Linked DNA regions of Callithrix jacchus. The protein of the gene in region 2 interacts with the protein of the main gene of each other region in a biochemical or structural test. Links are inferred from orthologs where the notes say so. Each region holds a gene or a part of one and is shown on either strand. Other genes may lie near its edges.

Evidence for each region.
Region 1: of the proteins of RB1 (region 2) and CASP7, one has a biochemical effect on the other in vitro, tested with the Homo sapiens proteins (2 studies listed by BioGRID). The link is inferred for Callithrix jacchus from reciprocal best matches to the Homo sapiens genes RB1 and CASP7.

What each region holds. Positions count from the first base shown.
Region 1 is NC_133513.1:106,664,482-106,671,493, reverse strand, and holds the end of CASP7 (caspase-7), read right to left. Parts: intron 4,362-7,012; coding exon 4,135-4,361; 3' UTR 2,765-4,134; downstream 1-2,764. UniProt on the Homo sapiens protein: Thiol protease involved in different programmed cell death processes, such as apoptosis, pyroptosis or granzyme-mediated programmed cell death, by proteolytically cleaving target proteins.
Region 2 is NC_133502.1:67,481,985-67,489,531, forward strand, and holds part of RB1 (retinoblastoma-associated protein), read right to left. Parts: intron 5,819-7,547; coding exon 5,714-5,818; intron 4,619-5,713; coding exon 4,505-4,618; intron 4,404-4,504; coding exon 4,240-4,403; intron 2,208-4,239; coding exon 2,177-2,207; intron 1-2,176. UniProt on the Homo sapiens protein: Tumor suppressor that is a key regulator of the G1/S transition of the cell cycle. The hypophosphorylated form binds transcription regulators of the E2F family, preventing transcription of E2F-responsive genes.

The DNA.
Region 1 (7,012 bases), on a different chromosome or scaffold from region 2:
AGAGAAATAATAATCTTCCCAGTGTCCACTGGGCTCTGGGGATATGACAGGTGGAAATGACAAGCTCTTAAGCTTCAATGCTCGGCAGTCCTGCCACCAATAAATACATGCAAGAAATGGCTCCTTTAGTCCTATAATGTTTACGAAAACATATTAAAGGCTGCAATTCACATTCATGGACACATTGAGAACCTTTAAATAATCCTTGTATGCCACTCAGCAAAGGCTTATTTAAAAAGGAAATGGGCAAAGAATGTAAAAGGTGTACTATGTACTTTAAGGGTATCATGGAGTTTTAAAACAGGGTTTTGCGGGAGGTTAGAAGAGCTTGAAAACCTGTCTTCCATGAAAGCTCCAAAATATTATTTTTCTGATTCTTTGTAGGCATGTCCTATCAGCTCCACGTGCAGGGCAGGGGGAGAACAAAAATACGTACATACATGTGGGCCTTGCCCACAAAACAGAGCTTCCTAAACTGTAATGTGACATGGGTCACTTGGGAGTCTGGTTAAAATGCAGATTCACATTGAGTTGGTCTGGGGCGGGGCCTGAGAGTCTGCATTTCTGACAAGTTCCCAGGGGATGCCGATGCACCCAGGCCAGGCATTCGCTCAGTGTTGCAAGACACTAAAACATGTACAAGGCAAACTGTGTAAAGGCGCTTTCCAATCCGCATGTCTTTGAAGGACTCTTAAGGATACCTGGGCTGCAGCTACTTCTCCACTGGCCAATTAACACAGAGGAATTGTTGCTGTAAACTGATGACCAACACAGCCTCTTACCTGGCCAGATGTTTCTAGAAAAGGGCCTGAAAGATGAAAAGCTGGCAGAAGAGGTGTGCTTCCAAGAAGTCAAAGGGAATCAATCCGTGGGTCACCAGAGTAGCTGGTAATAAATTTCAGGTGATGCACTTGCAAGACTGGGCAAAATAAGGATTTGTCAGTCCATGTCTAGGATGTTTGAGTGGATGTTGTTTTCTTTTTCACAGACAGGCCTTGGTTTCCTTGAAGTTTTAAATCATGTAAATTCAGTGACCCCAGGACTTTATTTTCAGACCGATTTGTAGCAATTCATAAATGTATTGGGCCAATGATGGCTGCTGGAAATTTGCTCAGAGAAAAAGCCTAGGGCAGAGCCGAAAGCTGTCTGTGAATGTATTAATAGTTCATATATATATATATATATATATATATATATATATATATATATGGTTAGTTTTTCTTTTTCTTTTTTTTTTTTTTTGAGACAGTCTTGCTCTGTCTCCAAGGCTGGAGTGCAGTGGCAAGATCTCAGCTCACTGCAACTTCCACCTCCTGAGTTCAAGTGATTCTCCTGCCTCAGCCTCCAGAGTAGCTGGCATTACAGGTGCCTGCCACCATATCTGGCTAATTTTTGTATTTTTAGTAGAGATGGGGTTTCACCATGTTAGTCAGGCTGGTCTCAAACTCCTGACCTCAGGTGATCTGCCTGCCTTGGCCTCCCAAAGTGCTGGGATTACAGGCATGAGCCACCGAACGTGGCCCAATAGCTAAAACTTTAACCTAATGGCACTTTGAGGAAAACAAAAATACAAACAGAAATCCAGCTTTGGGTTCATAAAGCCAGTGGGGAAGCTGTAGTCTGGGACAAGGGCAGTGCCCTGTCTGATACTCCTGCAAGGAGGAATTGGGGTTCTGAATCATGAGAACTTGGAATGTATATTCACCAGGACTGAGTTCTCCTGCAGGGTAACTGGTCATCAGACTTTTGGAATATAGAAAGTCTGGAAAGTTTAGAATGAAGGTGGTATGACATTCCCAACTTGAACTAGGGTTTCCGATCTCAATAAATAAGGGTCTGCCCATGGAAGCATTCAAGGACTAAAACTATTAAAAGTCTTTGGGATATACGGTAATATTCATTATCTGCAACCTATAACTGCCTAGAGAGATCTGGAAAAATTAATCCTGACACTTGGGAGCATTCTTCCCTTTAATGAAGGTTAAAGGCAAATAACTAGATTGCTATGGTTTTTACTGCAATACACGTAGGCCCTTTGATTTATATGATAGAGACCTTTAATAGATAGCTTATTATCCAAAGAACGGCCTGTGAATTCTGGGAATAGTAGGGTAGATGCTTGTTATGATCTCCGGTTTTGTACATTTAGAATATTTTAGATGGCAGGAAACCAGGGACAGGTCTAATAAACTCACCCGAAATTAGTTTTCTTATTTGAAAGAAGATACTTTTATGTTGTCTAATTTTATTGTCAAAATTAATAAATGGCAGCCCATCACAAACTTCTTTCTAAGTTGATTGACCTTTTATGTGAGGAGTCCCGGCTTTCCCAAGTGATTACTTATTTTATTAGTGTACTAACTTCAAAAAAAATTATATATTATGTGTTGAGGTCAAGCCAAAAGGGTCAATTCTTTTTTTTTTTGCAGTGGTACAATCTTGGCTCACTGCAACTTCCACTTCCCAGTTTCAAGCAATTATCCTACCTCAGCCTCCTGAGTAGCTGGGACTACAGGGGCCCACCACCACACCAGGCTATTTTTTTTTTTTTTTTTTTTGTATTTTTAGTATAGGTGGGGTTTTACCATGTTGGCTAGACTGGTCTCGAACTCCTGACCTCAAATGATCCACCCACCTCTGCCTCCCAAAGTGCTGGGATTATAGGCGTGAGCCACTGTGCCCAGCCAATAGGGTCAATTCTTATCCTGTTTTCTCATTTTTCCATCACAATAAATAATTTCAAAAGGAAAGTAAACAAGACTGGTTAGGAATTAAGCAACCACATTTTTAATCAGTAAATATGAACATTTGTTTGTTAACCAGTTACTACTAGGGAGAAAAAAAAACAGTAATTTTCAAGAATTCAAAAGATAACACCACCTTGAAAACAAAGTGCCAAAAATCTTTGCCATAAACTCTTCCTCACTTATAGAACTAGAAGTAACAAATATTTACTCAAAATGAGGCTTGGAATAATCTATAAAGTTCCAGATATATTTTAAAGCTATAACAGACTTTGCACATAAAGCCAAAACAGATTATTTTACACATATGTAGACCATCTGACACCCCAATGAATGATTGAATGGATGAATTGTTGAACATTAGAGAAAGTGATTACTTATGTTCACATTATGGGCCAGGCTTATTCATTTCTTGTCATTCTCCTGCCTCACTGTCCCTTGCTCTTCCAAGGGCCTTGGCAAGGTGGCTTCCAGGTAGTCCTGGAATGATAAGGTGCTGGTGGAAGATGTGAGAGCAGGAGAGGTGAGACCAAAGTATTCTCTGTAACTGACTCAGCTCACTCCATCTCAGGCAGTGGCTTTGTCCTTGTCATGGCTTGGCTTTTCACAATCCATTGGTGGTCCTAGCTCCGCCTAGGGAGCCCCCACCATGGTTCCAGCCCCTCTGAATGACCCTACTATGGATTCAGGAAACCGTTATCCTCATAGCCCTGGGTGTGGAAACAGCTTCTTGCTGTTTAGCTTTTCTTCTATCATCTATGTAAGTCAGTTTCCTGTATTAAATTCCCTCTGTTGAAACACGTAGAATGGTGTTTCTGTTTCTAGTTTGCTTTCCAGACTGGACCCTGACAGATACATATCAGAATCATTAAACTTTTTTCCTTGAACTTATCTGGGAATTTTTGCATCAAAATCTGCCCTAAGCCAATGAAAAATCATTCAGATCACACTCAATATCCACATTCCGAAAAAAGGTCAGTAAATATCCCCTTGGCTGTGTTTTGTCAAACACTGGGATTCTCTTTACCAAGTGCAAAGATGGCTCCGACTACCAATGTCACCACCAATTACAGTGGACACAGGCATGAGCCTTCTCCAGAGGTCACTTTTGTTGCATGTGTTAAGTCTAATAACAAGGTAAAAGACATACAAAGAGAAAATTAATCTTAAGAGAAAGTTACAGTCACCAAATGAATAACATTATTAAAAAAGTCTTTGAAAATTCAGAGAACAAAAGACAGCACCAGAAAGTTTCTTCCCTGTTGAATTAATACATTTTCCTGAAATTATTATCCTGGAGAATTTCTCAATATTTCAAGAGCATCAAAAAAAAAAAAAAAAAGAACCTGATCCATTGCTTCTCAGCTAGAATGCACCCCTGGTATGGTTATTAACTGAAGTAGAGTTCTTTGGTGAGCATGGAGACCACACAGGGGATCTGCTTCTTCTCATGGAAGTGTGGGTTATCAGACTGAGACTCGAAGTGCCTGGCCACTCTGCCATTCACCCTGGTGAGGATCTGCATGATCTCCAGGTCTTTCCCATGCTCCTCCAGGATGGAGCAGAGGGCTTGCACAAACCAGGAGCCACTTCCTGGGCTCCTCCAAGAGTAATAGCCTTCAACAGGAAAGAAAGGAGACAATCAAATCAGCTAATTCTGACAGCTGCTCCACTCACCAATGAGAATGAGTGGATGGGCTTTCACACCTGCTTTTCAGAAACAGTTTCACCCTACTCTGCACACAAGTCATTAATGAGAATTATGCTAGTGTGCTCAGAGAGCAAACATCTGAGATTTAGAGGGTTGGCATGAAGATGCTGAAAAGCGCTTTGGGTATTTCAGCATGGAAATCCAACGACAGACATCACTAAGGGCCAGCATTGGTGGATGTTGCCAGGGTCCTTTCCTGTGTCAGTTCTGATGGAGGTACCCACTTGATACACCTCAGATACATGGGTGTGAGACAGTGTGAGACAGATCTGGATGTGCAGACTTCCAAAGGAAATACTAGAGGTCTATTCCATAACTCTGGAACTCCTCACCACCCTTTCAGGGTCTGTTCTACTTTCTAATCCAAGCCTACTAGAGAAAGAATTTGCAGAGAACCTCGGAAAATGTGTTCCTGCTGCTGGGATACAGGGGAGTAGAGTTGGATCTTGCTGAAGAAATCTAGCGGCACGAGGAAGCTGAATGCCCAACTGTCTGAGGGGCAGGGCTAGGAGAGCCTGATGCCCTGGAAGGGGAAATCTCATCCTATAACTCCCTAACCTAAAATGGTTTCCTTTCCCCACATTATCTGGGTAAAGTTCAGGCTGCTTGGCACAGCACACAGGGCCCACCACAGTAGGGCCACTTGCCTCCCTGTCCTGGTTTGACCCTGGCCATGCTCTGCAACATCCTGTGGTATGGACTGAACTGTCTTCCCAAAATTCATTTGTTGAGGCCACACCCCATAATGTGACTGTTTAAAGGCAGGGCCTTTATAGAGGTAATTAAGATTCAATGAAGTCACTAGGGTAGGGCTCTGATCCAAGAGGACTGGTGTCCTTATAAGAAGAGACACCAGAGGCCTCACTCTGTCTAGGTCAATCTCTGTCATGTGAGAACATAGCAAGAAGGGACATTTATGAGCTAGGAAGGGGGCCCTCACCAGAAACTGACTGAGCCAGCAACTTGATCTTAGACTTCACAGTCTCCATAACTTAGAGAAATAAGCGTCTGTTGTTTAAGCCACTTACTCTAAGGTATTTTGCTATAGCAGCCCAAGAAGAACTGATATACTCTGATCCAGCCCTGAGTTTTACCAAATGCACTGGGGTATCTGGCCCCTCAGCACTCCATCTGACAAGCCATCTTTCTCTTACCCATGTTGTTTGAAATTTTAGGCTCAGTTACAGCAGCTCCTTTTTAACATCACTTTTCTTGCCCAGGTGGGGTGGCTCACACCTGTAATTCCAACACTTTGGGAGGCCAAGGCGGGCAGGTCACAAGGTCAGGAGTTTGAGACCAGCCTGACCAATGTAGTGAAACCCCATCTCTACTAAGAATATAAAAATTAGCTGGGCATGGTGGCGTGTGCCTGTAATCCCAGCTATTCAAGAGGCTGAGGCAGGAGAATCGCTGGAACCGGGAGGTGGAGGTTGCAGTGAGCCGAGATCATGCCACTGCATTCCAGCCTGGACGACAGAGTGAGACTCCCAAAAAAAAAAAAAAAAAAAAAAAAAAAAATATATATATATATATGATTAAAAATAAAAAATAAAACATGGTTTTTCTCATCTGCCTCCTTGCTCAGAGCACCTACAAGTCTACCACTGGGTTTGTTTATGCAGACATATGCCTCCATTACACCACCTCCCTCTCAAGAGCAGGAAGACCAAATTATTTTCTATCTTATACCATCCTTAAAACTTGTGAAATTATCGCTCTCACAAAATCCCATCTGTAGATGCTGCTAGAGCTGGTTTTCCAAACACACCGTCCTACTTACTGTAACCAGTACCTTTGTGCCAAACACTTGACAAAAGTACTAGCACAGCTGGGAAAATTCTAACTCAGTGCTGGTTTGTACCCAAAGCAAAGGAAGGACTTTCACTGTACAGACTCAGTCTAATGTGGCACTTGGTAAAGTGAGTAGGCTTGCCCATTACTGGCATTTTCTGGTACCTGTGTACAGGCTGCAGCGTAAAGGAACCTTGGTCTGAGCCACAGCTCCACTGCATACCGAAATCACGTAAGCTCATCTAAACTGAAAATTCTTTTATCTGTAAAATCAGGACAGCAATAATACCTTTCCTAAATATGTATGCTATTATTATAAGGATAATATGAGAAAAGACACATGAAAGATACTCTGTATTGTAAAGCACTATAGAAATGTTTGTCCTTATAATTACCAATAAGAATAATGATAATAAATAATAATAATAAATCGCTTGTCAGATGGAGTGCTGAGGGGCCGGATAGCCCAGTGCATTTGGTAAAACTCGGGGCTGGATCGCAGGGTGTGTCAGTCTTCTTGGGCTGCTATAGCAAAATACCTTAGACTAGGTGGTTTAAACAACTGATGTCTATTTCTCTACGTTATGAAGGCTGGGAAGTCCAAGATCAAGTCCCAAGTCAGCTTTCCTGGAGAGAAAAGGGAATGCACTTCTGTGGTAGGCAGAATAACGGTGCTCACAGATGTCATCCCCTAACCCCAGAATCTGTGAACATGAAACCTGCTGTGGAAAAAGGACTTTGCAGATGTGGTTGAGGTTATTGGACT
Region 2 (7,547 bases):
AGTAGCCGAGATCAGCCACTACACTCTAGCCTAGGCAACAAAAGTGATACTCCGTCTCAATTAAAAAAAAAAAAAAAAAAAGAATATAAGCTCTCTGGCCAGGTGCAGTGGCTCACGTCTGTAATCCCAGCTCTCTCTGGGAGGTTGAGGCAGGGGATTGTTGAAGTCAGGAGTTCAAGACCAATCTGGGCAACATAGCAAGACCCTGTCTCTACAAAAAGTTTAAAAATTAGCTGGACATGGTGCTGCATGCCTGTAGTTCTGGCAACTTGGGAGGCTAAGGTGAGAGGATTACTTGAGCCCAAAAGTTTGAGGTTACAATGAGTAGGTGACAGAGTGAGACACTGTCTCTAAAAATTAAAATTAAAAAAAAATTAAAAATATGCTCTCAGAAAGTGTGGAGATGGTGCAATGCAACATAATAATAGTAATGCGTACTGAATCTGAGACTGCTGAATTAGCGACTTTAATGGAAGGTCAACTAGAGTCGAGGATTTGCAGTCTAGAATAAATGTTTCAAAGCAAAGTTTTCCCTTGGATCTCTTAGAATGAAGCCCTGCCACTTTCATTGAGTCAGAGTCTCATGTAACCAATTCCTAACCAGTGTACCAGAAAAAGAATATCCTAGAAGTCTGAGAAGTCTGAGAGGAAGGACAAACAAAAAGTGTGTATGTATGGAAAGAGAAGACGCAGGGACAGGCTGGTGACATTTGGATGTAGGGCTTACATTTTGGAGTATGTCATTTCAAATCATTCTCATAATTCATACGAGGTTATGTACATACATACATAGTATCATAGGAAGATATTTGGTCTTTGTCCCCGGTTCCTGGAACAGAGCTCCTAGAACCTTTGAAATTTCCTAAGTGATAAGGGTGATAGGACCATCTTTTGTTCTTTTTTTTTTTTTGAGACGGAGTTTCGCTCTTGTTGCCCAGGCTGGAGTGCAATGGCGCAATCTCGGCTCACTGCAACCTCCGCCTCCTGGGTTCAGGCAATTCTCCTGCCTCAGCCTCCTGAGTAGCTGGGATTACAGGCATGCGCCACCGTGCCCAGCAAATTTTTTGTATTTTTAGCAGAGACGGGGTTTCACCATGTTGACCAGAATGGTCTCAATCTCTTGACCTCGTGATCCACCCGCCTCGGCCTCCCAAAGTGCTGGGATTACAGGCTTGAGCCACCGCACCCGGCCTGCATCTTTTGTTCTAATGAGGTGACACTTGGTGGGGACCTGGCTAATCAGAATGAGAGCTGGTTGCCAGAAAGACCAAGTCTTGAGTAGAAGCTTGGAACTTTGAGCCCCACCCTCTATCCGGGGAGCGGAGAGGGTTGGAGATTGAGTTAATTGGTTATGCCTACATAATGAAACCCCCATAAAAACCTGTCAACAACAAGGTTGGGAGACCTTTCGAGTTGGTAAACATGTCCAAGTGCTGCGAAGGTGGTGTACCTCAACTCCCTGGGACAGAAGCTCCTGTGCTAGGGACTCTTCTGGACCTCACCCTGTATAATACCTCTTCATTGGGCTGTTCATTTGCATCTTTTATAATGAACTGATAATAATAAGTAAAATTTTTTCCAGAGTTTTGTGACTAATTCTGGCAAGTGATCAAACCTAAGGAAGAGGCACATGGGAACCCCCTAACTTTGTATCCAAGTCAGATGGAAGTGTGGTGTAGCCTGGGGGCCTGACAGTTGTGACGGGTGTCTGCAGTGAGACCAGTTTTGTGGGACTGAGCCCTTGAACCTGTGGAGTCTGATGCTGACTCTGGGTAATTAGTGTTAGAAATAAATTGAATTGTAGAACACAAGAGAGTTGAAGAACAGATTTGTTTGAGAAAAAAAAAAAAAAGAATCTCACATATTGGGTGATAGAAGTGTGAGCAAAAACAACTCACATATATATGCATGTATACACACAAATGTATATATGTGTATTATATAATCTCAAAGGAATATTTAGAAAAGTTTTGAAGTTCACTAGTTAGGAGTATAAATGGAGATTAAACTTGATTTGAAAGTAAATCTGAGATATATATATCTCATAAAATTCTACGCAATATGCCTGAGTGAGGTGTTTGAATAATTGTATTTGCAAATTCAAATTATAGAAAACTCTAATTACTTTTATACTTACAATGTGTACTATTACATTTCATAGAAATAAAATACTCACCCCAAATGATTCACCAATTGATACTAAGATTCTGTCAAGTTAAGATGAAATACCAATTAGTAATAAAAATCATGTACAATTTTGCAGAGATGAGCATAGATATACTATTCTGAACTATCAGGAATTCCAAGTTAAAGGCTACCTCTACCCTAGAACCACTGACAAACTATATTCATTTGGGGATTATTCTAACAGTGCCCATTTAATCATATACTCACCTGGTCTCTTAGTTTTAAAGCAAAAACCATAGGTCTGCAAGAACATATTTTGCCATTCCCCATATTTAAGGAGAGCAAAGGAAATTTTCAAGTTTACCCCTACTTAGTTCTTCATAAATCAATGAGTAAGTTATCAAATTTCTTTCATATTTTCTCATTTAAAATTCAAGTTATATTTGGCAAAAACTTAGAATATTAATAATCAGAATTCTAATTAGCATCTATATTGGTATAGTAAAGGCTAGTTATCATATATCAAATATATAGTCAGAAATCTTTATTAGTCTGTCTTTATTTAAACCATATAAGTTATGTTCTTGATAATAAAGCTGAAGAACATCATTAGCTTGACATGACTCAACAAAGATTTGAAAACATGAACATGGAACTAGTGCATATAAAGTTTTTTTTTGTCCTCCAATTCCTTGATAAGTGGTCATCATTCTAAATATAATGCTCTCCTAATGCCTGATCAATGATTTATTAGTTAGAATGTTCAGAATGTGACTTTTTTGCTAAAGAATACAACACAATTGATTTCACTAAGGATCAGGAAGTAGCCATCATTATCACCATAATATGGATTAATAATCACTATTAAAAAACTACCTAAGTATACATTTTCATACAGTGGCATGGGACTGTATAAATTTTTTTGTTTTGTTTGTTTTGTTTTGTTTTGTTTAAAGACGGGGTTTCACCATGTTTGTCAGACTGGTCTTGAACTCACAACCTCAGGTGATCCGCCCGCCTTGGCCTCCAAAGTGCTTGGATTACAGGTGTGAGCCACCACACCCGGCCTGTAAATTTTCTTATATAGAGATAACGTGGCATTTTAACAGCTTGGAACAAGTAGAAGGAGTCAGTACACAGATATCCAACTATAAGAACACCAAATAAATAAAGGATGATATAGAGGCACATGAGAGCATTTGTATCATATTGCCAGTTATTTATTACTTCATATTTTTCTGTAGAGTTTGCAATTTTTACCATGAGTATGTACTACTTAAATAATTAAATATACCATGCAAATATTTTCTAAAAGACTAATATATCTCCCTTTTCTTGTCCATGAGGGACAACCATATGGGCTGACAATTTCTGAAATGAGACTACATTAACTATACTAGCTAATCTGCCTCCTACTTTACACAAATAAAGTCAGTTTCAAATAGCCCCTGATAATATATAATTAGTCAACTGAAGCACTTCAAAGCCAGAGAGCACTTGTGGTTGGATGGGAAGATAATATAATGATTTATAGTTGCACACAACCTTTCATCTTAGAATTTAAAACAGCTTCATACTAATCATTTTGCTGATCCACAGCACCCTTGTGTAGTAGAGATAGAGACCTGCCCAAGGTAAGGTGGTAAAGAGGTTGCCAACAGGATTAGGAATGGACCTCTAAAGACTTAATTGACAGTAATCTACATTTAATATAACCAGCAGAATGAACAAAATCCACAGGAAGCAAAATTTATAGGACATCCAATAAACTACAAACTAAAAGTACTCAACCTAAAGTAACCTGCATTGTTTAGCAGATTGACTACTTACAAAAATATTAAAGTGTTTTGAAACATATAACCAAACTGGTTCAAAAACTGTTTACAAAAGAAGATACCCCTAGCAGTCAGGAAATCTGATAACTAAATTTGTAAACCCATCCAAGTAAATAGATTTTCTTTCCCCCTAGATTCTCATTATGTTACTTAAATAAACAAATAGACTCAAGAGTCTAGCTTATTTGAAATGAAGAAAGCGTTGTATTTTTATTCTTGGATCAAAATTATCCCCCTTTCATTCTTTACTACCTCTCTAACGAGAAAATACACACACCTTGTTCCTGGAGTCATTTTTGTTGGTGTTGGCAGACCTTCTGAAATTTTATATGGACTCTTCAGGGGTGATATATAGATGTTCCCTCCAGGAATCCGTAAGGGTGAACTAGGAAACTTATAAGGGCTTCGAGGAATGTGAGGTATTGGTGACAAGGTAGGGGGCTAGAGCAAAAACAAAAAAGTAGTATTATTTATTTAATGTTTTAATGGGACCCATTACTTTATAATTAGATATTTCCAATCAAAGGATACTTTTGACTTACCCTGGTGGAAGCATACTGCAAAATATTTGTTTTCAGTCTCTGCATGAAGACTGAGTTATAGAATACTATAATAGAATCATACTCCTCTTCTTTGATCAAAACACGTTTGAAAGTCTGAGGAAGAAGAGTAAAAAAAAAAAAGTAAAATTCACTTGTTAAATTAATTTTAAAATTTCTACCTTTAGATTTTCTTTTCTAAAAGTTTGTAAAACTTTTTGACTGGTAAGAAGCACATATTATACAGGAAAAAATAATCTAAAATGCCTTCTTAGGTTTGAATTATAGATGCTCTACTAGAAGCGAAATGTCATAGGATTATTGAGAAAAACAGCCAGGCAGCAGATGGAATAGCTGGCCATCCAAGAAGAGAGAGTAGACAGGCTGGTAGAATGGAAAGCATTATGGGAATCAAAGGGCCAGAACTAAGTGAAAGCCAATGACATTATCCATTAATATTTAGACTATATCCTCTGGCCTGTACCTCCCTGTATCGCCCCATTCTATAAGGGTTTAAATAGCATTACTCAATTGCAGGAAGTAGACACTTAGTAAAAGCACTATATTTTAGTGTTAGATTTCACTCAAATTTTAGTTAGGTAAAAACACAGAGGTTATATCAAATGCCTCTGACACATTATACACTTAAATGATTGAATTTAAAATAACTTCAAACATACAAACAAAAATGACTTGGTTTGTATTACTTTTGAAAACTCTAATAATAAATGGGAAAGATATCCCACAACTCACTTTCCACAGAACCGTATGAAACGTGTCATACCAAGTATATTTTACTACTCCTGTTTCTCTAAAGGGAAGGTAAATGTGTTTAGAAATACAAAATGTGTTTATACTGAACATATTTATTATTTCTTTGCAAGGTTGCATTTATGCTGACTTTTCCTATAAAGTAATAAAAATAAAAGATCATCTAATGTACTATGACTCATGCCAGGTTTATTATAAATACTTGCTTATTACACAGATAAAGCATTACTTGTTAAATTTATAAAAAAACCACGAATATGGATAATTTCATAATTTATCTTATCTTTCCAATTCCATTTAAGCATTTAAGTTACAAATAAATAATATAAAAATTTTTATTTGTAAATTTACATAAGATCAGAATATATGAGCCTGTGAATGAATAAAATTATCTTTATTACAGATATGGATTTATCAAACTTACTATGGAAAATCACCTACCTCCTGAACAGCATGAGGAAGATCTTTGTATGCTGTTACAATGATTTTGAATTTAAGGTCTATATTCTTCACTTTGCATATGCCATACATGGAACACATCATAATCTAGTAAATAAATATGATGTAAAACTAGTCAGAATTTTATTATGTGGTTTTGCTCTAAAAAAAAATAGTTTTCTTCCTTTTAGCCTCAAAAAAGAAAAGTTTAATTTCCTACATAGTTATTTCTTTCCATACTGAGCTCAATTTGAAACTCTACATGAAGTGTTTAACCCAAAGTGTATTTAAAGAACAAAATGCAAATGACCAAGGCTCAATTATTTAGGACTGATCACCTGGTTTGTAAATTACCCTAACTTTGGCTCCTGTCCCTTAAATGTTTCCCAGAAAAGTTGAAACTAGAATCAGTTAATTTTGCATAACTAGCACTTAAAAAAGCCAGGTGTTAAAATGTTTCAAACTAGCAGATAATATTGAACATACTTGGTGGTAGTGGTGAGGGTAAGGTGACTGGAAGGGCATGTAAGAGAGTCTTATGTGTTGTTGACAATGTTTTGTTTCTTGATCTGGATGTTGGTTATATAACTAAGTTAGTTGATGAATTTTCATTAGAAGGTATCCTTTTGAGATGCAGGTTTTTATATATGTGTATTACATTTCAATAGAAGATATTTAAAAATGATTCCCTGTGACTTTAAATGTCAGACTTTATTTGTATGAACTTTATAGCCTAATTTAAGTACTCATTACTTCTGCAACATTCTTGCTCTCATCTACTATTGGCAAGAATGCCAAAAATCATCTTTGGCTTGGCATTCTACTAGCCAAGTGTAGACAGGGTAGTCCTGGCGTAAGAATAGCTTATGTAGATCAGTGAAACAGAATTAAGAGTCCAGAAATAAATATTTATATATTTACAGTCAACTGATTTTTTGACAACTGTCAATGACAAGAGAAAAAAAACCTTTTCAACAACTGGTGCTGGAACAACAAGATATTCACTAACAAGGGAATGAGGCTGGACTCCTACCTCAACTATATTAAAAAATTAGGTCAAAATGGAGCAAAACCTAAATGTAAGAACTAAAACTATAAACCTTTTGGAGACAAACAGGAATAAATCTTAACAACTTCAGATTTGAGCTGGGGGTGGTGGTTTACGCCTGTAATCCCAGCACTTTGGGAGGCTAAGGTGGGCTGATCACAAGGTCAGAAGGTTGAAACCAGCCTGACCAACATGGAGAAACCCTGTTTCTACTAAAAATACAAAAATTAGCCAGATGTGGTGGTGTGCACCTATAATCCCAGCTACTCCGGAGGCTGAGGCAGGAGAATCACTTGAACCCTGGAGGGAGGTTGCAGTGAGCTGAGATTGTGCCACTGCATTCTAGCCAGGGTAACAGAGCAAGACTCCCAACTCAAAAAAAAAAAAAAATTAGGCAAAGGATCTGAATAGACATTTCTCTAAAGAAGATATATACATAGCCAGTAAACACATGAAAAGGTGTTATCATTAGCCTTCAGAGAAATGCAAATCAAAAGCACACTGAGATGCCATTTTATATCCACTAGGATGGCTATGATAAAAAAAAACACAGATTAAAAAGTTGGTGAGGATATAGAGAAATTGGAACCTTATATATTATTGGTAGGGATGTAAAATGGTATAGCCACTTTGGAAAATGATCTGGGCATTCCTCAAAAAGTTAACATAGAGCTATCATATGACCTACCAATTCTACCCCTAGGTATGTACCAGGAGAAATGAAAACATGTACATGAATGTTCACAGTAACATTATTCATCATAGCCAAAAAGTGGAAACAACCCAAAT